Linked DNA regions of Pelodiscus sinensis. The protein of the gene in region 3 purifies or fractionates together with the protein of the main gene of each other region. This does not show direct contact. Links are inferred from orthologs where the notes say so. Each region holds a gene or a part of one and is shown on either strand. Other genes may lie near its edges.

Region 1 (7,732 bases), on a different chromosome or scaffold from region 3:
GTCTCCAACTTCTCCCACCAGCAACTTCAGTTTCCCATGCGCCCTTCCTGGCTCCTTATTCCTTAAGCTGGAGCAGCCCATCAGCTGCAGGCTGCTGGCCCCCGCTCACTGTGTCCCTTCTTCTCTGGGGCCGGGTGCTGCCTGTCTCGCTGCTAGCCTGGTTCCCACTGCTGGGCAGCCTGCCCCCCACGGTCCCCAGCTTGTCAGGTGGGGCTGAGCCAGCTCTGTGTTGGGCGGCACAGACTGCCATAATCTGTCAAGCGCCGCCCCGGCCGGGACGAAGTGAGGCCTCTGGCCTGCTGGGGCGTAGCCAGGCAGCTCGCATTGGCTTCAACGGATAAAACCCCGCCCGCCGCTCGCTGGTGCTGCCAAGAGAACTGGTCAGAAATTATGCAGTGCTCCAGCAGATATGGGGGAATGCGCAAAGCAGTAAGAACAGAAGCAAAAGGTTCTAACTGGAAAGAGCATTAGTGTGACCAGCTTCATTACTTACTGATCCTCACCGCTCTGATAGTTTCATACCAAAGATTGTTTAAAACAAACATGTCAGACTCCCTGACTTATCCGCTGCTTTTTCTTCCTTTTGATATTCTAAGCCCTGGCCCTCTTCCCCTTCTTTACTTAGTCAGACGGGCTACAATAGCTGCCTGAGGACACGTGGATGGAAAGGAGTCAGAGAAGTCATACCCACCGTCCTCCACCCCCTTCCCACAATAAGAATGGAGAAAGGTTCTCATCCCCCCCCCTTCCTCCTCTCCCACTTTTTAGGGAAGAGGATGGGGGTTGGCAATTGAGAAGTCTCACAGGAGGGAAAGGTTACGGAGGATTCTGAGTAACGATGAGACAGATCAGTACTGGGGTAGTGCTACGGGGGAGCTCTCTGCCTCTGGGCTACGCCTAGACTGGCATGATTTTCCGGAAATGCTTTTAATGGAAAAGGTTTCCGTTAAAAGCATTTTCGGAAAAATCGCGTCTAGATTGGCACGGACGCTTTTCCACAAAAGCACTTTTTGCAGAAAAGCGTCCGTGCCAATCTAGACGCGCTTTTCTGCAAAAAAGCCCCAATCGCCATTTTTGCAATCGGGGCTTTTTTGCGGAAAACGAATCTGAGCTGTCTACACTGGCCCTTTTGCGCAAAATGGGAGCAGCATAGTATTTCCGCAAGAAGCACTGACAATCTTACATGAGATCATCAGTACTTTTGCGGAAATTCAAGGTGCCAGTGTAGACAGCTGGCAAGTTTTTCTGGCAAAGCGGCTGATTTTCCGAAAAAACTGGCCAGTCTAGACACAGCTCTGGTGTTTAAAGAGCTGCTACCCTACAGATCAATACAACCCTCCTAGCTGTTCTTTTATTTGTCCCTGCTGGGAGGGAAAGTCCAAGAACCACTGAGGCGGGGTTAGACGGTGGGGGGGAGGGCTCTCTTAGCAGGAAGTCGCACTTTACACAGTCACCATGTGCTCTCGCATCTCCTTTTGCCCACCAACATAATGCAGCCACCCCTGGGGTACCCCAAGGCCACAGCTAACATGCACACACCGACGGCACACAAGAGCCGAGGCCAGGAGACCCTGTGTCCAGGCGCAGCTGTGTGGGGATGGGGAGCTAAGGGCCAATGCGCACTGCTGGAGACAGGGCGAACCGGGCTTTCAAGTCGCTTGATGCGGCAGCCGTCCCTGCCGTGTGCATTCACAGCAGAGCCACCGTCTGTCCCCACGCCCTGGGGCCGAGGTGTGTACCCCCCCATGCACAGCAGCAGCTGCCCCAGTCTGCTGCAGCTGCCAGGACTGGGTGGGGGGGATCCCCCCAGGGTGTTCTAGTCTGAGCCCTGCTGCGACTGGCAGCTGGAGAGAGGTGATAAAGTTCTCTGGAGGCTGCCCCGCGCAGTCACTTAGCAGCCGGGGCCCAGCACTGAGCTATCTGCCTCTGTGGTCTGGGCCACACAGGGCTGAGCCCTCTGGCCGTGGGGAACAAGGGCTCGGCACGGTGCAGCACGCCCCTGCCTTTCTGGGCCAGCTCCCTGAGGTGCAAGCTCCCTGCCCTGGGAGCCTCCAGCCTCAGCTCCCCTCCAGCCTAGCTCCCTTCCCCCCTCGCTGCAGGGAGGGGGAGGTTCTATGGAGCTGGCACCTTCCAGCCATGGCTGAGATGGTTACTGTGGCAGCTGGGCTCCCCCCCAGATACAATCGCAGGAAGGCAGAGCTGGTGAGGGGGGAGGAGAGGCCACAAGACATGTCTCCCCCCTCCAGCCACATGTGGGGGAAGTGTGGGGCAGAGTGAGAGCGGAGACTTGAAGGCTCTGTCCCTCATTGACGCTGAGGGCGGCTCAGGTCCCCAGCTCTGCTCTGGGATGTGGATCTCCAGTCCCTCCCGCCACAGGCAGGCTCCTGCCAGCTGCTGTCTGCTCCCCAGAGGTGGCTGCATGGCGGGAGCGGGCGAGATGATTCCCGTGTCCCCGGTGCTCTAGGCAGCACTTTATACCGCGTGGCAGGTGCCCTGCAATTGCCCAGCCCTTGTCCCCAAACACTCCCCCTCTCCCTTGCGGGGTCACAAGAGACTTGATTTCTTTTGTGCTGCCCGCAAGTGGTCCAGAGGGGCGAGGCGGGTGCCCTGGCTACAGGGATTGCAGTGGCACAGTGGGGCCCGCTCTGCCGGCCCTGGCTGCACCACACACCTGAAGGGCAACTGCCTGTAGGAGCCATTGGGGGAAGATGGGAGCTGGGAGCTGGGGGAGGGGCAGTGGGAGCTTGCGGCACCAGGAAAGGCTGTTCCAGCAGCCAGGAGGCCGTGGAGGCTCTGGGGGACAGATTCACCTCCCCTTCAGCATCTCCTGGGGCGGAGAACACGACCTGACTCTTCAGTGTTTGCCCCAATTAGCCCCCTACCAAAGGGCACCACAAATCCCTGGATTATCCAGCTCCACCAAACCTAAACCCAGCCCCTGCAGGCTCCACGGCCTCCCAAAGCATCTCTGGCTCCCAGCCTGGGGCTTGACTCTGGTTGCAGCCGAACGGTCCAGAAGGAACGGCTGTCAGGAGACAGAAAGCAGGTCACTAGACGATGCCTTTGGTCTGCGGGTCGGGACTGAGGGGCATCAGCAGATCTAGGTGCATGTTCAGCTCACCCAGGCCCTGCTGCCCTGTGCCCGGCCCAGCCACCTCTGTGTGTTCCTGGCTCCCTGCCGTGTGAAACCTGCTCTCCTGCTTCTCGGTGTCAGGCCCAAGGGCAGAGACAGGGAGTCACCGTCCATCATCCTGTGCCAGGGAGGTTGAGAGGGCTCTGAGCCCATTTGCACAAGGCCACACAGCAGCACAGACCAGTGCCCCACAGAAATGGGGCTGGAGCGGCAGCCTGCTCAGGCGGGACCGTGGAAGCCCCAACCCTCCATAATCCCCAGTCCCATACTCTGGGGCAAATGGATCCAGCAGCGTTTCGCCGCTTGCACCAGACCCCCGGCCAGGCACGGGGGGGGGGGGCTCCATTTCTAGGATGGAATGGGGAGCAGCAATCAGGCAGCGCCAAGCACCCGGGGCTCAACTGGAGACAGGGGGCCAGATCCCAGCTGGGTCAATGGGCCCTGGGTCCATGGGTGGCCATGGGGTGGGGCCAAATCCCCACAAGCAGGAAGGCTGCTGGACCCGCCGGCCATGGGGCTAAATCAAAGGGGAGGATGGCAGGACATTGATCCGTCCCGGCCCCCAGGCTCTGTCTGGCCAGAAGGTTCCACTCAGGCTCCGGGGCGGAGCCAGCGAAGCCCAACCTGAAACTTTCCCCTGCTGGGAGGGACGGAGCCGCCCGAGTCGCCTCTGGAGCTTGGTTTGCACCTGTCAGGCCCTAGCCCAGGCGGAGCCCAGCTACAGCTCCACCTGCTAAATCCAGCGGCTGTGCTCCTGCAGCCCCTGGGGTGTGACCCCCCCCATGGCCTGCCCCTACCCCCTGGGGTGTGACCCCCCCCCATGGCCTGCCCCTACCCCCTGGGGTGTGACCCCCCTCATGGCCTGCCCCTACCCCCTGGGGTGTGACCCCCCCATGGCCTGCCCCTACCCCCTGGGGTGTGACCCCCCCATGGCCTGCCCCTGCCCCCTGGGGTGTGACCCCCCCATGGCCTGCCCCTGCCCCCTGGGGTGTGACCCCCCCCATGGCCTGCCCCTACCCCCTGGGGTGTGACCCCCCCATGGCCTGCCCCTACCCCCTGGGGTGTGACCCCCCCCATGGCCTGCCCCTACCCCCTGGGGTGTGACCCCCCCCAATGGCCTGGCCCTGCCCTGCCCCTGCCCCCGATACACCTTGGAGCGCTCCCACCTCCGTTACCTAGGCGACGTTGTCAGCAACCTTCCATCCTGGCGCAGGGGACGTTCTGAGCCCGCCCCCTGGCCCGGCCTCCGCCAATCCCGCGGACGCCCCTAACCTGCTCGGGGGTGACGTCATGGCCGGTGAAACCCCCCGTGGCCGCAGGAGCCGCAGCCAGTGCGGGGCGGGCAGGCGGCGGGAGGAGCAGCCGGGCCCGGCCCGGCCCAGCCCGGCCCAGCATGGCCAAGCACCACCGCACCCCGGCGCGCAGCCCGGAGCCCGTCATCGAGGTCAAGAGCAAGGTGCGTCCGGCCGGCGGCCCCCCCCGCGGCCCCAGGTGCAGGCGGGGGGGGCCCGGTGCAGGGGGGGGGGGGCCCGGTGCAGGGAGGGGGGGCCCGGTGCAGGCGGGGGGGGGCCCGGTGCAGGGAGGGGCCCCAGGTGCAGGCGGGGGGGGCCCGGTGCAGGGAGGGGCCCCAGGTGCAGGCGGGGGGGGCCCAGGTGCAGGCGCGGGGGGGGGGGCCGGGGCCAGCCGGGCGCAGGGTCCAGCGGGGCATCCAGCGGAGCTGCAGCCCGGGGAGGTGGGGGGGCCCCGCGCCCCCGCCGGAGACGCGGGACGAGGCCGCCTGCCCGGTGCGGCGCCAAGCCCCCGCCGGAGCCGGCAGGTTATGCAACGATGCAGCCTGACAGCTCCGGTCCCCGCGTCCCGGCCGCAAACTTCGGCTCCCTGGCCGGGCCTGGCGGGCTCCTGGCATCCACCTGGCCGCTGTGCCCGCCGGAGCGTGGCTTGGGGCGGCAGGACCCTGCCTCGCCCCTGCCGGCTCCGCTTCCCTTTGTCTCTGGGCGGGGGGTGATTTCCCCCCGGGGAGCAGTAAGGGGGGGCGGCTGCTGGGCCGGGGACCCGTCTGGGTTGTCAGAGGAGAGCCGCTCCCCCAGGCCGCTCCCCCTGCACCGGGCCGGGCTAAGTGCCCGGGGTTCTGGCTGCCACGGCTGTGCCCACCTGCCCAGGGTTCCCCGCCTGCGCTGGGTAGACCTCAGTGTTGCCTCTGGCCCCGGGGCTCCTCCAGGCGGCAGCGTGGGCCCGAGGGCAGGACTCTGCAGACAGCCCTGCCGCTCAGCGGCTGTCCGGGCCGCTGCTCCTCGTGGAAAGGTGGCCGTGGACTTGCCTCCTGGCATCTGCATGTGCCAGGCTTACGGTTGGTCAGGGGGGTCTGGGTAAAGCCGGGGGGGCGCTGCCCCCACTGTTTATGCATCAGCACTGTGTGGTGGGGAGCAGGGCTGCAGGGAGGGAGGGGATGTAGTTTGTATCCCCACGTCTGTTTGCTCTGCCTTGCTGAGTAATTTTGGGCAAGGACATACACGGTGCCTAGACATGGCCGAGTGCGGGGGCAGTGCCCCCGGCATGAACTGGGCGCGTGTCCGCTCTGAGGCACCCAGTCCAGCCCCCCGATCTGCAGGGCCAGCTGGTCCCAGTGGCACCTCTCTTCCCACGGCTCTGCCACGCGAGGTCCAGGCAGATCCTTGGCCTCTAGACCCCAGTGCAGCCGTGAATTGGTGTGGGGAGGGAAGGAGCCAGGCGTTAGGTTTTTGGGGTGAAGCGCAGGGCTCCTAGGGGTGGGCCATGTGGCGTCTGTCTTCAGAGCCCCCAACTGATCCCTGTGGCCTGTACATGAAGCTTCCTCGTGGAGCCTCAGGAAGTGGCTAGGGAACGGGGGGACCCGGCTGGCCGCTCCTTGCTGAGTCTGGGGCCCCTGGCTCCCCCGCCAGCCAGTTGCTCTCACGTGGCCCTGACCCCGCCTCTTGCCCCCAGTTTGACGCCGAGTTCCGCCGCTTTGCCATGAAGCGCTCCAGCGCGGGCGGCTTCCAGGAGTTCTACCGGCTGATCCAGACAGTCCATCAGATCCCTTGCGTGGACGTGCTGCTGGGGTACACGGACGTTCACGGGGACTTGCTGCCCATCAACAACGACGACAACTACCACAAGGCCCTCTCCTCGGCCAACCCGCTGCTCCGCATCATCATCCAGAAGAGGGGTAAGTCCGGGCCGCCGAGGCCTCGGGTTCCTTGCCTGGCTGCGAGCTTCCGTCGAGTGGCAAAGGAAATGGGTTCACTTGCTCTGCCAGAGCACTCGATAGCAGCCCCGCTGCTGCCTGTTTGGTGAGAACTTTGCCGTGTATCCGTGCCCGGGCATTTCAGCGGAATGCTGCCGCCTCCGGCCCACCACCCGTGTTGGGATCTCTTGCTGCATGGGAAATCCCAGCCAGCTGGCCCTGTGTTCCACAGGTGAATCGTATCCTACTGGCTCTGATGGGAGCTGTTAGCTGGGACCGTTCCTTTGCTTGGATGGCTGGGCTTTTCCCTTGTCTTACATATAGGAGGGCCAGCCTAGAGTGGACCTCTTAAAAAAAATTAAGAGGGAGAATTTTCTGGATGCTCCACAACTCGGTTTATTCCTTGCGCCTGCCACTGCATTGCTGAAAGCCTGGCTCTGTGGGAAAGTTTGTGTAGGCCCCACTAAAATGTCAGTTTGTAGCCCTGTCCCCAGTGACGGCAGTAACTGTGTTCTATAAGCAGTGTTCTCGCTAATCTGTTCCATCCACTTTTTTTCATCCATGTGCAGAATAAATTTTATGTGCACTGAAGCATGTGTGGCTGTGCACCACCAGTAGAAACAAAAAAAGGGAGCTGTGCTAATCAGCTGGACAGCGTTTGAATTTCTCCAGAGCGAACGCACAAGTGCCCACTTTACAGGGAACACTGCCTGTAGGGAGTGTTTCAGGAACTACCCTGACCTCTGAGGCTGGGCTGTGAACCGGCCGCTTTGGCTCACGGGTTCTGCAAGCCAAAGTCGCTTACCCAGAGAGCACCCGTAATACCGGAGAGTTAAAATCCTGCAGCCTTAACACTCTGCTGTCCTGCATGGGGAATTCAATCCCAGAACACGTTGTTCCTGGAAAGCAGCTGGTCTCTTCCACAGGGACTAACTCGTCTCTCCCCCCTCACCGTTCTTGTTGTGATGTGATGGGCGGCAGTAGCAGTGCTCCGCCCCAGAGATGGGCACATGTTCCCCACGTAGGAACGGTCCATTTGTTTGTTCATTCGCAGGTCATAAGAGCAAAACTTGAAATATACACGCAAACCTATGGGGAACCTGCTGCCTGCCCAGAACGTCTCTCCTCTGCAAGGGTCTTGGAGTGTTTCCAGTGGTCTCCTGCTAGCAGGCACTGGGGAGGCTGGGGTCGGTGCTGGAATGCGGCTTCCTCTGGGGTGGAGCAAGCGCAGCTTACTGGTACAAAGCAGCGGAGGCGATCCTATCCAGTCGCCCCTGCCGGGAGGATTGTGATACTTAAGCGCCAGCTAGATTTAGTCCTTGACAAATGCCGTGATTCTAGCTACCGGGCTAGTGGGTCTTTACAGATCACGTGCAGCCGGCAGCACAGGGCTCTGT
Region 2 (8,197 bases), on a different chromosome or scaffold from region 3:
TCTGAATTCTATCCCTCAGTGCAACCTTTCAGCTACTGAGTGTCTGAAATAACACATTATTTAAAAAGTCGTAACTCCTAGGGTGAGAGCGCTTTATTATGGAGGAATACTTGATCGTACTAGAGATCTGAGCTTGCTGGTAAATGTGGATAAGAGGGAGTTAAAAAACAACAGAAAATTAACAATCCTTTCTTCCGGCTGTAAACTGGTTCTGAACATTCCTTTCATTGGGGGCCGTGAATAGTTTGAGTAAGTCTGAATCACAGGTTTTATGGAACTTGTGACTAAAATAGCTCTGTAATCTTGTGCTATGCCTGGCATGGAAGTCCTGCCCCCTCTCCTTACCTTTATCTCAAATCAAACTGTTCTGTCACATTCCTTCCTTGCACAACATCAGCTCCTTGTGATGCAAGCTACCTAGTGATTAATACCCTTTTATGAGGTTGGTTTCAATGATCTGAGATTAAATCACCCTCGCTGTCTCAGAAAGCGTGAAGCCACACCCCACTGTGAGGAACTCTAATAACTCCAGGAATGCAAGAGAAGAAAAAAATATTCTTAAAAGAGACCAAATAAATACATAGCAATAACATCATCTGCATGGATGTGCTGGGAGCTTCCTGGTGGCTTTTTCACATCAGAAAAAGGCCAGTTAGTTCAATTGCTCTGCAAATCCTTGGGAAGGCTGGGTTCTTCTCTGGTAAGCCACCTCCATTCTCCTCTTCATGGTCTCTCAAGGTATGTCTACACTACCACCCTAGTTCGAACTAGGGTGGTTAATGTAGTCAACCGAAGTTGCAAATGCGGCACAGAGTAGGTAGTTCGAATTAGGCTTTCTAATTCAAAATACCGTTACTACTCGTGGAAAGCCTAATTTGAACTACCTACTCCGTGCCGCGTGTAGCCGCGGGCACAGAGTCCGAACTACCGGGGATTTAAAATGGCGGCGCCCGGCAAGATGCAAATGAAGCCCGGGTGAAGCAAGTCACCAGGTCCTGATGAAATGCATCCCAGGATACTCAAGGAGCTGATAGAGGAGGTATCTGAGCCTTTAGCTATGATTTTTGAAAAATCATGGCAGACAGGGGAGATTCCAGAAGACTGGAAAAGGGCAAATATTGTGCCCATCTATAAAAAGGGGAATAAGAACAACCCAGGAAACTACAGACCGGTCAGTTTAACGTCTGTCCCAGGGAAGATAATGGAGCAGGTAATTAAGGAAATCCTATGCAAACACTTGGAAGGTAATAAAGTGATAGGGAATAGCCAGCATGGGTTTGTGAAGAACAAGTCATGCCAAACTAATCTGATAGCTTTCTTTGATAGGATAACGAGCCTTGTGGATAAGGGAGAAGCGGTGGATGTCATATACCTAGACTTTAGTAAGGCATTTGATACGGTCTCGCGTGATATTCTTATTGATAAACTAGGCAAATATAACTTAGATAGGGCCACGATAAGGTGGGTGCATAATTGGCTGGATAACCGTAGTCAGAGAGTTGTTGTTAACGGTTCTAAATCCTGCTGGAAAGGGATAACAAGTGGAGTTCCTCAAGGGTCTGTTTTGGGACCCGTACTGTTCAATATCTTCATCAATGATGTAGATATTGGGATAGAGAGTACGCTTATTAAGTTTGCAGATGATACCAAACTGGGTGGGGTTGCGACTTCTTTGGAGGATAGGGACATAATTCAAAATGACCTTAGCAAGTTAGAGAAATGGTCAGAGGTAAACAGGATGAGGTTTAATAAAGAGAAATGCAAAGTGCTCCACTTAGGAAGGAACAATCAGTTCCATACATACAAGATGGGAAGCGACTGTCTAGGAAGGAGCATGGCAGAAAGGGATCTAGGGGTCATAGTGGACCACAAGTTGAATATGAGTCAACAGTGTGATGCTGTTGCCAAAAAAGCAAATATGATTCTAGGTTGTATCAACAGGTGTGTTGTAAGCAAAACTCGTGAAGTCATTCTGCCGCTCTACTCTGCACTAGTTAGGCCTCAGCTGGAGTACTTTGTCCAGTTCTGGGCGCCACATTTCAAGAAAGATGTGGAGAAATTGGAAAGGGTACAGAGAAGAGCGACAAAAATGATTAAAGGTTTAGAGAACATGACCTATGAAGCCAGGCTTCATGAACTGGGCTTGTTTAGTTTGGAAAAAAGAAGATTAAGGGGGGACATGATAGCGGCTTTCAAATATCTAAAAGGGTGTCACAAGGAGGAAGGAGAAAATGTGTTCCTCTTGGTTACTGAGGTCAGGACAAGGAGTAATGGGCTTAACGTGCAGCAGGGGAGGTTTAGATTGGACATTAGGAAAAAATTCCTAACTGTCAGGGTGGTCAAATATTGGAATAAATTGCCAGGGGAGGTGGTGGAATGTCCCTCTCTGGAGATATTTAAGAACAGGTTAGATAGACATCTGTCAGGGATGGTGTAGATGGAGCTTGGTCCTGCCTTGAGGGCAGGGGGCTGGACTCGATGACCTCTCGAGGTCCCTTCCAGTCCTATTATTCTATGATTCTATGATATTTAAATCCCGGGGTTCATTTGCAACTTCGGTTGACTACATTAGCCACCATAGTTCGAACTAGGGTGGTAGTGTAGACGTACCCTCAGAGCTGAGCAAGTTACTTGAAGAAAATGGTAGGCATGGAAAGAAGAAAACAGGTGGAGCTGCTGCTCTTTAGTTTTTTAGTAATAGAAAAACAATAGAATTAGAGGCCTGATTCCACTCTTGCTCACATAGTCATAATTCCACTGACTTCTATTTGCATCAGTGTGAGGGAAGAATCAGGTTCTAGATGTAGTTTAGGAGTAGCATGTCATCCAAGCATTCCTTGGCCTTTTGCTATTGTAAAGAAACCATAGATGAAAGAAGGCATAAGGCTTGAACTGGACACCTACTTATTTACAGACACTAGTCAAACACTAGACAATAATCTCTGCATTATTCAGAACCAGCATGAAAGCTGCAGTTTCTTTGTCTTGGGTAGGGCTGGGCCTTATACTCGAATCTACATGCAAAATTGTACTGGTTTAACCAAATATATGATTTTGAACTGATTTAGTTAAACTGACACAACTTTATGTATGGATGTTCATTTATTAGTTGAATCCTGATTTATATCTAAATATAAAATACAAATCAGGAGTAAACCAATATATAGCCAATACACTTATAAAATTCATTCACTTTTCAGAGATATTACTGGTTTTAGTGGAATTCTCCGTTTTAAGTATAGAGAATATTGTTGGATCTGGTAATATCTCTAAAATAAAACACTTTTGAAGTATGCCAGTGTATTGCACCAGTTTAACTTTTAAACCAATTTAAATCAGACTTGTGTAACTATTTTGGGTATGCAAAACGTTACAGATTGCAGACCCTGAGATATTGGAGAGATGGATCAGTCTGTTAGTTGGTTCCTTTTCCTTTTTTGGTCCTGCAGCTGACATCAATTCCAAGCATGTAGCTCTGTTCTAAAAAATGGCTATAATCTAGTGTCATGCTTCAGGGTTTCATTGGTTGCCAGAAGGGGATACTGAAGGTTTTTTCCTTCCCATGTACAACTGTAATCTGGGACAAGATATTGGTTGATTGGGTGGCTCAGGCCAAGTCTATACTAGGGGAGAAAGTTAACCTAAGGTATACAACTCCAGCTATGAGAATGTAGCGGGAGTCAATATATCTAAGGTCAAATTTCTGTGGTGTCCCCACTGCAGGAGGTTGAAGGGAGAAACTCTCCTGCTGATTTCCCTTACAGCTTGTGATCCGCTGGAGTTCCGGGATCAACAGGGAAGCTATCAGCTGTCAATTTAGCAGGTTCTTACTAGACCCACTAAATTAAACCTGGAAAGATTGATCTCCAGAGTGTTGATCTCAGGGTAAGTGGAAACAAGTCCTCAGTGATCTGAGATGGTACCAATAATTGTGTTTAGATGCCTGATTGGTGTCTTGTTCACATTTTCAGGCGCTAAGTGATCCTTAGAACTGGGGTTTGGAAAGAATTTACCTGCCAAGTCAGATTGGCAGAGACCTTGGGAGTTTTTCAACTTCCTCAATAGCATTGGGCCTGGATCACTTCCTAGGATCACCTGGGCATGTGCCACCCAATCAATTCCCTCAATTGAAGGGACTTGGGGCATTAGCAGAAGCCTGTTCTCTGCCCGTGAAACAAGACAGTCTATTTTCTGAGGACTGAAATGCTTTTTAATGGAAATCATTGGACTCAAAAGAGCGATTTGAGTGAAAACGGATGGCTCGTGAAGTGCAGGACAGACTAGATAATTTAGTGGTCCTTTCTAAACTTCACAAAACCACGTGCAGGAATCCCTAAAAGTAAAGAGCCTTGGAAAATTGATTATCTTTATTTGTAGATAAAACCAGTTGCACCCATACTCCCTCACAACACCCTGAGGTGTATTCTGTCTCCATTCACACATTCCCAGCATCGCAGGTGTACTTTGACCCTCTGTAATCCCACCATAGATGATGCACTCGTCTGTGGTGCTCATAATCCCGGAATTGTGAGGACGAGTTCTTTAATCCCACTATTGGGCGGTGCCTTGTATCTACCATAGTCCCAGCACCCGGGGTTACTGTGCCCCCCTGCAATGCCAGCACTGGGGGTTACTGGGCCTCTGCAATGCCACGATTGGCTGCGTGCTGTGCCCCTCCCCCGCAGTTCTGAGCGTGCGTATTTATCTACAATAACCTCTGCCCAGTGACTGACACCTCCCGCCCCACTCCCATGCATAGCATTCACAGCCACGCATGCGCCTTCCACTTAGGAACGGGGAGAGTGTTAGGGGAGAAATGCGTTGGACGCATGCGCACTGGCTGCAGGTGCGCCTAGGGCTTTCTTTCCTTCTCCCTCGGCGGGCGACGGGTACGCACGCGCGCTCGTGGCAGGTGCACCGAAACTCCTCCGCCCTGCTGTGAGTGCCCGGCGCGCATGCGCTGTCTCTCCTCCCCCCCCCATACCCAATCCCTTCACGGAGCGGCAGGTGTCAGGCGCAGCTAGGCGCTCCCGGGGCGGCTCCTCCTTCTGGGTGTGTGAGGAGGCGGCTTCGCGGCGGTGGCGGCAGGTTGTGTCTGGGCGCAGAGCTGCCCGGCTTCTCCCCCCACAGCGCGCCCGGGGACACACGGGGCGAAGGCGACTCCCGGCCGTGTGGCGGCATGAACCGGACCTACCGCAGCGCGGGGGGCAGCCGGGCCCTCGGCACCATGGAGGTGAAGAGCAAGGTGGGTCGCGGCCGCAGAGGGCGGAGCGAGCCTTTTGGAAAGGGGGGGGGGGCAGGGCTCGCTCCGGTGGGTCTGGGTGGGCTCGCTCCGCGAGCGGCTGCCGGGGGCAGAGCGAGCTGCGGCGGGGGTGGAGGGGAAGAAGCGGGGCCGCGATCCGCGAGGCGCCGCCGGGGGCAGAGCGAGCTTGAAGCGGGGGGAGAGGGGCTGGATCCGTGACTCCTTGAGAGGCCGCTGGAGGCAGGGCGAGCCTCATTGGAGGTGGGGGCCCAGCAGGAGGGGAGCACTGAGGCATCTGAACCCCCTGGCGGAACACATCCAGGGCTGCCTGTGAGTTGCCCGGCACGGGGCCAGGAGTGGTTCTGCATTGTAGGGTGAGGGCGAACTGGGAGAGCTGCTGACTCACCTGCAGAAGGTAGCAGTAAGAGGGAGATTCCTGGGGCTGGGGGAGTGTGTCTACAAGGGAGATCCGGGTTGCCTAAGAGTAGAGGTGTTTTCAGGAGATCCAGAGCGGTTACCTTTACTCTGTCCTTCATGTCTTGTGCCACTGCCTTGATTATTATTCTAACAATTCTCACCATAGTGTTGAAGCTAGTAATAATTAATGCTTGACATCCTCCCTATAGTCTGTGTCCTCTCAGTATTAGCCTCCTTGTCAGATTGCATTTCATCATATTTTCCCCCATGTCTCCAACAATTGTGGTTGATTGTTCGCTGCAAAACTTGATATTCTTTAACCAAAGTTACAGCATGACTTTACTGATTGGGCGGGCACACTGCTTTCCATCAAGTTACTACACTGAAGTGTAAAACAAGACACAAAGTTCGCCCTGAAATTGACTATGGGCTAACAGAATACACAGGAAAACAAATGCAGACAATATAGGAATATTACTAGGAAAAAAGGGGTGCCTCAAAAAAATCAGTTTAGCTCTATCATGATTTGAAACATCCCTAACATTATGCTTTGACGACACTAGGGATGTAAAATCTCAGTTAATCTGTTGACCAGTTAAATGCTATGGGAGCAGGTGGGGGGAGGTATGGTCTGCAGGGGGTGAGCTGGAGCACCCCCTGCCTGGAACAGGCCCAGCAGGGCTGGAACAGTCCCTTGCCTGTGGGGGGTTATTCCAGCCCCACATTTAACCATTCACATCTCTGGACTAGTCTAGGATAAAAGTGTCTTTTTAGAAATATGTTAATTAAAATATTTTAATGATTTAAAACTCTAGTGTGAACAGAACAAAAATAATTTGCCCTGCTAAAGTGGTTTTTTTGGGGAAAAAAAGTCTTTTATCCTAGAATAGAGAATATTTTGATGTAATACAGTGGCTCTGGAATCTTGTTAGCTGGTCATATAACCCACAATTGTCAAGGTGTTGAACTGTGTCTAAACTGGGTGTTAAATGAGTGTTTCATATCATTTTAGTTAATTTGAATTAGAGAATGTGGATGAGGCAGTATCTTTTGGTGAGAGTCAAGCTTACACAGAGCTCTTCTATGACAGAAGTTGGTTCAGTAATAAATACTGTCTCATGCACCTTGTGTCTCTAATATCCTCTGACTAACATGACTATAATGCTGCACACATAAATTGAATTAGGCAACTTGGGAATTGTCTACAGAAGGATAGCTGGAAAAAGTAAATCCAAACTAAGGTGTGAATTTGAAGTTAAGACATCTAATCTCTGCGTAAGTCTTCTAGTACGTACTACGTGGGAAATTCCTTGGATGTTGCATATTTCAAATTCTTGGGACAACAGTTAATGAGCAGGTTTTATTTTTTTTAAAGCTTATGGCCAAATATATTAGTCATTAAGATGCCACAGGACTCCTTGTTTTTGCTGAAACAGACTAAAGAGGCTACCCCTCAGATAATAAACACAGTGCTCCTGACTGAAGGGAGTTCCTCCTGCAGGAATTCATTTACTTTTGTTATACACAGGTGTGACTGAAATCAGAATGAGTCATTTATTCTACCTTATTGTTCACTAATGTTAGTGTAGCTATAGTATCTATAGAACAGGGTTATTTGCAGAGACAGCTAACTAATCAATTAATGAGAAGGCAGATGGTGACTTGATGGCTATTGATGACTTATTACACCTACAAATTGTATACCCAGCCAGACTATGAAAAAACAGGGTAGTTTTATTGTTTGCTTTTTCTCCCCTGTGTCCCTTGAAGCTACCACCTTATTTGTTTCATGTAAGGTATTTAAATACATTAGCTATCACATTTTAAAAACATTTTTTCCTAATTATAGACTTTTTGGGGGGCAGAGACTGTATTCACTCATTACCTTTAAACAGGGCTTACCACAATGGGGCATGTTGCTGCTTTTGGTCTCTAGTACTGTTGTAATACAAATAGTATAATGTAGGAGTGAAAGATCTTGAAGATTGGGGAACTGAAGAAAGTACAGTCTGCTTTGGAAGAGGACTAGTGCAAAGTGTATTAGTGAATTGTTAAAACACAATTGTAGTGCTCACACAAGAGGAATGGAGCAATCTGGTACAGGTAGGTTCACATCCCAACTTGCCACAAACTAAATCCTCATGTAGACAGGTTCTTTGAGTTGTGTATATATACCAACATTTCCACTATCAGTAGAACTGAATGGTGGAGCATTTTGTCAGTAGTGCTGAACTGGCAGTGAAATAAAAACCTGAATCTTGTTAGTGTAAATAGGGCGGCTATGAAGCTGTTGAGGAATGGGTTTGTATCCCCTCTTTGCCTCTCCATTTTAGGCAGGAGCAGAAGTGACAGAAAATTAGGGTGGGAGGAGATATGAATTCTTCAGTTTCTCCCAACAAACCTTGAAAGTAATTAGCTGCATGCTGGCACTTCACCAAAATAGATATGTTGCTGCAATAATTAACTCTGATTATTAAAGCAGAACCATCAAGTTAATGTGGATATTTTTTCATTCTGTGCTCTGGCTTTAGTTTTAAC
Region 3 (8,072 bases):
CTTTACGACGTTCACCTGCCAATATATCACATTTCAGAGGTTTCTAATTTTTTTTTTCATAATGTGGCTACATAACAGAGCTTTTGTCATGGACCCCTCCCCGCCATTTGCAAGCATACAAGCAACCATCCTCTCCACTCATTCTCACATAACTTCACTGTTACACATACTGCAATTTGTTCACATGGAAATATATTAGGAATGTGTTTGTAGCTGTCTTTAATGCAATTTAACAGCTGGAAACAGGAATGTGATCCAGTGCACTATGACGAGACAGATATTCAGAGACTACAGCCTGGAAACCATAGATTTATCATCACTAGATTATATTAATATTGTAAGATTTAGGGACCAATCATACAAATATTTACTGTCAAGTATAGTCCCGTTTAAGTAAGTAGCACTCTCAGTTGTAAGAGTACTTTGGGACATGGTCATTTCTGTGCATATGAAATGTTATGCACTTTAATGAAGCTGTCAAAATAACTGCAGTTGGCATCTTGACTTCTTTCAGTGAAACATTTCACTAGTCAATGTTGTGTGATGTTACACAATATACTAAGATGTAGTGATTGTCTCAAAAAATTCTGGAAAAAAAGGAAACAAAAAAATGGAAACTTTGGTTTCCCTTTCCCTGGACACCAGCCACAGGTTCTCATTGGAAAAAAACACCACCCCACTCACAACCTGACACAGTATTTCCAACCTACTAATGCTAAGGCAAGCAGACTTCAAACTTCTAATTGCTTGGTGCAATTTCAGAGAGTCCTGAAGTAAAAAATTCTCAACTGAAACAAAACAAAAATCATAAAGGTAAAAAAATAAGTCATACCCAACTACTTGAGCAAAGCTGGGGGAGTAGGAAGCACCAGATGGAATTTCATTAATCTACTGGTCTTTTTCAGATTGGCCTGGCAAATGTTAGTCAGAAATTTAAAAACATGTTTTGCAGCAAAAAAATAAAATATTCTAAGTGACTACAGAATGGAAGATACAATTATTTGTAAATAACTATGTACATGTAGTCATGCACCAACTCTACGCAGAAAGCGTTCAGACAAGTTAAAACAAAAGGAAAAACTATGTAGCACTTTAATGACTAACAAGTTGGTTTAATATGTCACGAGCTTTCGTGGGCCAGACTCACTTCCTCAGATCATATTCTGGAAGAGAACTGGCATTACCATATATACCATGGTCATGCCAATTCTCTTCCAGAATATGATCTGAGAAAGTGGGTCTGGCCCACGAAAGCTCATCATGTATTAAACTATCTTGTTAGTCTTTAAAGTGCTACATGTTTTTTTTCTTTTGTTTTAGCAAGACCAGACTAACACAGCTACCTCTCTATTATTATTCAGACAAGCTGTAATTATAATTAACATCACCAAAAAGAAAGAAATCAATTACGTTTCCAAAGATAAATGCAATTAACATATTTCCAGCACAAAGGCTCCCTACACTGTAAACTTCTTTCAGAGTAACTGGAAAAGTAAATGATTCTCTGTGTTGACATGAGAATTTCTGACACAGAGAAGAGTGCACTGACTTGTCATGAAGTGATTGTCCTAGCAAACAATCCAACAGAACACTCTTTTAACCCATCCTTTAAAAAAAAAAATTCTCCAGACAATCCTCTCTGTAGTACCTTTCCCCTTTTCTGGCAGTCCAAGAGACATATAACTTTTTCAGATATAAACATTAAATGCCTGCTGTTTTGTCAACTCCCCACATTTCACTGTTTTTTTTCTTCCTGGGCCTGGAGCAGCTGGGAAGCCTGGGGCTGGATTTGAATTCTTTGCAGTAACTACTGCCCAGCAAAGAGAAATCATTGTAAAGGAGACCTACTTTTGGGGATTTATATCTTTATCTGTTTCAAACACCAAGCTTTGAAGATGTAACAAAAGCTATAGCACGCTGTTACACAGTCTTTTCCGCGACAATTAAAGTAACAAGATGTAACCCTCCAAGTGACAGCCAATACCCCAGTTTGTATGGACCCAGGGCACTTGGGGTGTACGCAACTAATAGGAACACCACAGAGAGAGAAAGAGCTAGAGGGAGAGATCCCCCAGCCCTTTTACAATCACACCTACAAGAGACTCGTTTGCTCGTTACAAAATAGTAACAAAGAGCTCAGGCCCCAAAACACACGTCTGCGACTGTATCTCGCTAAAGGGTAAATCTCAGCTCCCCAGCTGGGTTACAAAGAAGCCATGTTCAGTTAGCAACTCCTTTCACACAGACACACGCTCCCTGCCCCCAGGGCCGGGCCGGGCAGCCCAGCAGCGCTTTAAACTTCACTGTCAGGAAAACTAGATCGCTGCACCCAGGAGCAGCAGCGCCTCTGGCCCAAACTCCCCGCGCTTCTTCCTTCTCTGGATCTCGCACCCACCAACTCTCGCCCTCGGGGAGGGGGGCTGCGGAGGCCGGGCCCCTCCAGCCCGTGCCCACGTCTCTCCCCAGCCGAGCAGCCTGCACTTTTCCCCTTTCATCCCCTCCCTCCCCCTTTCCAGGAAGCGCCATATTGATCCCAGGCGCCCTCTTCCTGCGCCGTCCCCCGCTCGCTGCCCCGGGCGCGCACCCTCACCTTGGCGATCGCCTTCTTGTACCTGGTCACCGCTTGCTGGATGAGGCTGAAAACTTTCATGTTGCCGTCCCCGCAGGGCACGACCACCCGGGTCCGCCCGAAGCACACGGTGACTTTCATCCTGCCCCGGCCGCCCGGCTGCCTGCGGCCCCCACACGCTCCCCGCCCGCGCTCGGCCCCCAGCTCCGGGCGCGCCTGGCTCTGCGCCCCGGGCCAGCCGCCAGCCCCGGGCAGGAGCCCGCGCCGAGGGAAGGCGGCAGCTGCTGCAGCGGACCGGCCGAGTCCCGGGCTGCGGGCTTCCCGCTCACATGCTCGGCCGCCGCCGGGGCGGTGCCAGCGCTCGCTGCTGCCTCTGGCCACCTGTTCCGCGTCTCCTCCTGCGCGCAGCGCGGCGGCGGCGGCTGCTCACGCCCGGGCGGCGGGGGAAGGGCCGCGCTGTCTCCCCGCTATGGCCGCGCAGGGCATTGCCGCTCGCTCTGCCTCTGGGCCCCGGCCCTCCCCCAGCCCAGCCAGCGGGTGTGGGGCTGCGCCTCCTGCCACATGCCCAGGGGCGGAGGGAGGGTGGTGGGGCCGAGCCCGGGAAGGAGGCCCAGGGGAAGGGAGGGGGCCCATGTGCTGCTGTTTACACTGCGCTCGCCTATGGGCTCTGAAGGAAGCAGAGCGGACGGCCCCGCAGCCGTGTCGGGGACCCTGCGTAGCCCAGACCTCCCAGCCCGCCCCGGGGAAGGGGTACTGCTGCCCCCGGCCATCGGGAGAGAGGAAGCCCAGCCTAGCGGTAAAGGGGCCCACTTTGATCGCCCATCCTTGCCCTTGGCGGGGGAAGGTTGTAAACCCCCCACCGCCCGCAGGCGCCCCTAGCATTTTCCAAAGGGTGCTTTAAAATGTCCAGGGCTTCTTTTGTCCAGGTAGGGGCGTGCTGCCCCACGCTACTGGCCTCTGCCCAGGGCCTGGCTCCTGGAGGCACCTGAGTGTAGCAGAATCTCACTCTTTAATTTTACACAATTTCCCAGCCCTTGTCCTTGAAAGAAAAGCTGGGACACCTGACCTGAGTGTATCTGGCTACTTCCTGCATCTCTGTGGGTGTTATCTGCTGGCAGGGGCATTGGCAACTCTCTGCAGAGGACTTGGACTATACCAGGAGGAAACAAGTGCAGCAGGCTGGTAAGCAGAAAGAATAATGCACAGGAGCATCTACTTACTGCAAAGCCACACAAACACTGGATCAGTGTGGGCAGACTCCTACTGATTTTAATGGGTGTCCACTACCTTGGATCCTAGAGGTGTGGGGATGGAAAGAACCAGTGATAGAAATTCTCTTTTTCTGGCCCCAGGGGTCTTTTCTGGATTCTACATCCCCACAAATTCCCCCCTTGTGGCTCATCAACCATACTTTTCTGTTGACTGAGCAGAGTCTTCCAGCACCCTAAGGCTGTTCTCAATCATGGTGACTGAGAAATAGAGGATCCTGAACCCCAAGGAACTTAGTTGGTTAGAAACATATCCCCTTTTACAGCTGTACATGGAGAAATGAACCAGTCTCCTACCTGGTGTTTTCACAGTGTCACCATACACACTTTGCTGCCTCAAATCTAGATGTTCTTCAAAAGGATAGCCTTGATCATTTTATTCTTGTTAGCTGAGCAGAGTCAATGCAGTATGACAAGTAAACTGGAGTATATCCTAGCGTTTATAACATCAGTAGAATTGCAGTTACAGCCCCACTGAATTGAATGGGTGTTATAAATGTCACTGGTAGCAGAATTAGAAGAAAATGAACTTGCACATTTGTCAGTAATTGTTCTACTTCGCTTGCAGAATCTTTATACTGGATGGTGGCGCATAAGACAGAAAGCATCCAAATTGATTTGCTGAATGAGGGCTAAATTTTCAGGACAGGCAATCAGAAAAAACACACATTTGTTTTACTTAAACATGGAACCACACAGTGCTTTTAAAAAACAGTAAAATTATACTTTATGTCTACAAAGAACAAACAGGATCTTGGTTTTAAGATGTTTTCTGGAGGTTTCACATAGTAACATGATGCGAAACTCAGTTAATCTCAGAAGACAGTATGGTTTAGTCATCTCTTCCAAGACTGGGGACTATAGTTCTAGTAAGTTTAGATATCCCAAACCTTATACAGACAACAGAGTTATATGTGATTAAGTAGTGCACAATCAGAACTCTTGAGATGTGCAATATTGAAAGGACTCTGTTAGTTATTCTACAGACATCTAGGGTGTAATCCTGACCCATTGAAGTCAATGGGAATTTCATCATTTACTTCAATGGAACCAGGATTTCATCCCTATGCATTAGGAAACTATGCGCAGTTCTACTTAACTGGGTTTAGATTAAAGAGGAGTGAAGAAAGAGGAGTTACTTGCAATCTTTTGTACTACTATTCACAAAGATTCATTGCTTAAAATTAACCTCGGTGTAATTAGACTCTTCTGCTTTGAGAGGAGAGGGAAACAAGCCAGAACTTATTTGATTGTAACCACATATTAAAAAGAATTTGTCACCAAAAATTTTCCATAAAATGTAGGTGACCTGATAGTGATTATTAAGTCTCTTACCTTAGTGCAGTGATGGCCTTAGGACTGCATGTGGCCCATCAGGGTTGTGTATGTGTCCTGCAAAACATTTTTTTTTTACCATTACCCATGCACAGGGTTGTCAGATTTTGCTGGGTTCCATCCACATCATTTTTTCCTGCCAGTTTTACTAAAGTAACATTACTAAAATGACATATAAAGCAAGGGCACATGAAGTGAGGTGCCCACTGACTGTACACAACATTAACAGTGAGAGTCATGCACTCTCTATATCCAATCAAAGCACTGCTATGGTTCATTTGGGACACTGCAAATTCTAGTATCAGAGGGGTAGCTGTGTTAGTCTGAATCTGCAAAAGCGGTGAGGACTCCTGTAGCACCTTATAGACTAACTGAAGTGTAGGAGCATAAGCTTTTGTGGGCAAAGACCCACTTTATCAGATGCATATAGTGGAAATTTCCAGAGTCAGGTATAAATATGCAGGCCAGAATCAGGCAGGTGATTGGATCCATATCGTCATCTCCAGCCTGATTCTGGCCTGCATATTTATACCTGCCTCTGGAAATTTCCACTACATGCATCTGACGAAGTGGGTCTTTGCCCACGAAAGCTTTTGCAAATTCTAGGCATGCAAGTGCAGTGAGCAAAACTACCCTGTTTCCAGGAGGGTAGCTTGCTTACAACATTCTTGCAGCCCACTCAGATAAAAGAGGGCCATTTATGTGGCCCACTTGCTAGCCTAGATTGACCATCTCTGTCCTAGTGTCTAGGAGCCCTAGTCTTGGATCAAGAAGCCATTGTGGGAAGAGCTGTACAAACTCAGAACCAGAAGCTAATCCCTTCCCCAAGCAGTTTGATATAGACAAATATGGGAGTATAAGGAACGAGACAATATTGGTCTGCTTGGTAGGGAGTGATTCCTGCTAAAGGTGGCTCAGGGATGGTGTTGGGACTGCTGTCTCTCTTGCGCTGCCCAAGAAGTCCCATCACCATGTGTTCAGTGGCCCTTCGGAGGGCTAGGAGGAGAAGACAAGAGGCGGGGATGGGGGCAGGAGAGTTGGGTGGAGAGGGGAGCAAGGAGCTCACTGGTGACCCACTCCATGCACAGTCATGCGCTTCATGACAGAGGTCATGGAGGAAGACATGGCCTCATACTGGTGCATCAGCTGCTTCTGGTCAACCCGGCTTGCCTCACAGTTGGCAGTCTGCTCCCAGCACTCCTCATTGAACCCCCATATGAGGGACTGGAGGCAGGCTATCTGGTCCTGCAGCAGGTCTTCCCTGGTGCACTTTTTGCAGTGGATCCCACAGAGCTGAGAAGATGGTGTGGGAGGTGGTGGATGTGCCACACTCACAGCTGGCCCAGCTGTGAAGAAAAGTTACAGGAGCACTCATCCCAGGAGACACTGTGCATGAAGCCTAGCCCTAAACTCTGAGCTGACACTGAAGGTCTCAGTTCAGACTATGGCAATTTGTTTTGAGCAAGGCCATCTGTTTCCTACACAGTGGGCACTTTCCTGCAGGGGCGTCCTGCAGCCATCCCAGTGGAGCATTGCTACAGCCATGGCCCAGGAGCCTGTGGTCAGGAAGGGGGATGGGGCAGCTTGGCTTCCTTCCATTTCCTGCACACACCAGGTCCAGCACTTTGTGGACTTAGGTGCTTTTGAAATTTGTACCTTAAGTGACATAGAAACCAAATCCTACTTTCAAAAGGGACTTAGAGACTCCGGAGCCAAGTCTCACCCACTGGGGACTTAATATGTTAAGTATAACACCTAACGTTTAGGCTGCCTGGATTGCAAGCCCTTTGGAGCAGTGTTTTTATTCTGTGTATGGATAACACCTACCACAATGGAGTCCTGGTCCAAGACTAGGGCTCCTAAGCACTATGGTAATAAAGAACAGTGGAATCCATGGCCCTGCATGTGGTACCCAGGCAGCCAGTACAATGCTATCATAATGCATAGGAAGAATTAGGCACCTGCGAATGGAATTCACAAAAGCCAGCACACTGAGCACAGAGCCACCTAAGCAGGAAATGCTGAGGATAAGGAAAACCACCTTCCCCCACACAGCCAATGGTGTTAAGTGCCTAGCTCTGGGCTGCAGAGAGGTGCCTCCCTCCAGTTGGGATTCACAGGCATGAACACCCTCTGGAAGTAGGTGTCTAAGTTAGTCAGCCCTTTTTCATGAAAAACCTGTTGAAGCTGTTCTGCTTTGTAGGCACTTTCTAAATATTCCTTGAATTAAACTAAAGAGAGAGAGAGAGAGATGCTATGTCCCACTGGGAAACCCAGACTGCAGTTTCTTCTCTAATAAATATTATACAAAGGGGAGCAGCTTCAATAGCAGAGATTGAGAAAGACCCAGCTCGGTACCCTAGAGCCCAGCACTGAAGTCACTCACTTGGGAGCAGTATCAAGTCTCTGTGCCACGTCAGACAGAATGGGGATCCAGATCTGATCCATCAAGCCTTTCAATCAGGCTGGGCGCACCACCAAGGCTCAGAGCTCCCTGCTCCTTCTGCCTATCTGCACTGGGAAAGAGAGGGAAGATGATACAGAGGCAGCAGCAAGGAATGGCAGGGTGCTCCTCGGTAGTGGGGCCGGAGTGCACTGGCTGCCAACCCTGCCCCCGGGTACTATAGAGTAGTTGACTAACCAATAAGAATTCACGAGGTTACTTGACTCTTCAATTAACCGATATTTAACATCCCTAGTCTATACTGCAGTTTTATAGTCCTGGAGCCAAGCCCCATCAACCTGAGTCAAAGTGAGCTACACTCAGACACAGTGCCATGGGATTTTGAATCAGAGAGTAGATGTGCCCAGAGCCACTTAGGTGCTTTCTAAAATATTATGCTTAGGCCCCAGTTCTGCTAACTTGTCCATTTGCTTAAGTTTATGCTCTTAGAGTAGTC

What was found. The genes of interacting proteins can lie anywhere in the genome.
Region 1: the proteins of PARD3 (region 3) and PARD6A purify together in Homo sapiens (co-immunoprecipitation; 7 studies listed by BioGRID and IntAct, with this or other methods). This does not show direct contact. The link is inferred for Pelodiscus sinensis from reciprocal best matches to the Homo sapiens genes PARD3 and PARD6A.
Region 2: the proteins of PARD3 (region 3) and PARD6B purify together in Homo sapiens (affinity purification with mass spectrometry; 5 studies listed by BioGRID and IntAct, counting the BioPlex papers as one, with this or other methods). This does not show direct contact. The link is inferred for Pelodiscus sinensis from reciprocal best matches to the Homo sapiens genes PARD3 and PARD6B.

The regions. Positions count from the first base shown.
Region 1 is NC_134722.1:46,603,807-46,611,538, forward strand, and holds the start of PARD6A (partitioning defective 6 homolog alpha), read left to right. Parts: upstream 1-4,410; 5' UTR 4,411-4,526; coding exon 4,527-4,589; intron 4,590-6,094; coding exon 6,095-6,317; intron 6,318-7,732. UniProt on the Homo sapiens protein: Adapter protein involved in asymmetrical cell division and cell polarization processes. Probably involved in the formation of epithelial tight junctions.
Region 2 is NC_134728.1:18,806,935-18,815,131, reverse strand, and holds the start of PARD6B (partitioning defective 6 homolog beta), read left to right. Parts: upstream 1-4,875; 5' UTR 4,876-5,179; coding exon 5,180-5,245; intron 5,246-8,197. UniProt on the Homo sapiens protein: Adapter protein involved in asymmetrical cell division and cell polarization processes. Probably involved in formation of epithelial tight junctions.
Region 3 is NC_134712.1:231,795,091-231,803,162, forward strand, and holds the start of PARD3 (partitioning defective 3 homolog), read right to left. Parts: upstream 3,111-8,072; 5' UTR 2,711-3,110; coding exon 2,591-2,710; intron 1-2,590. UniProt on the Homo sapiens protein: Adapter protein involved in asymmetrical cell division and cell polarization processes. Seems to play a central role in the formation of epithelial tight junctions. Targets the phosphatase PTEN to cell junctions.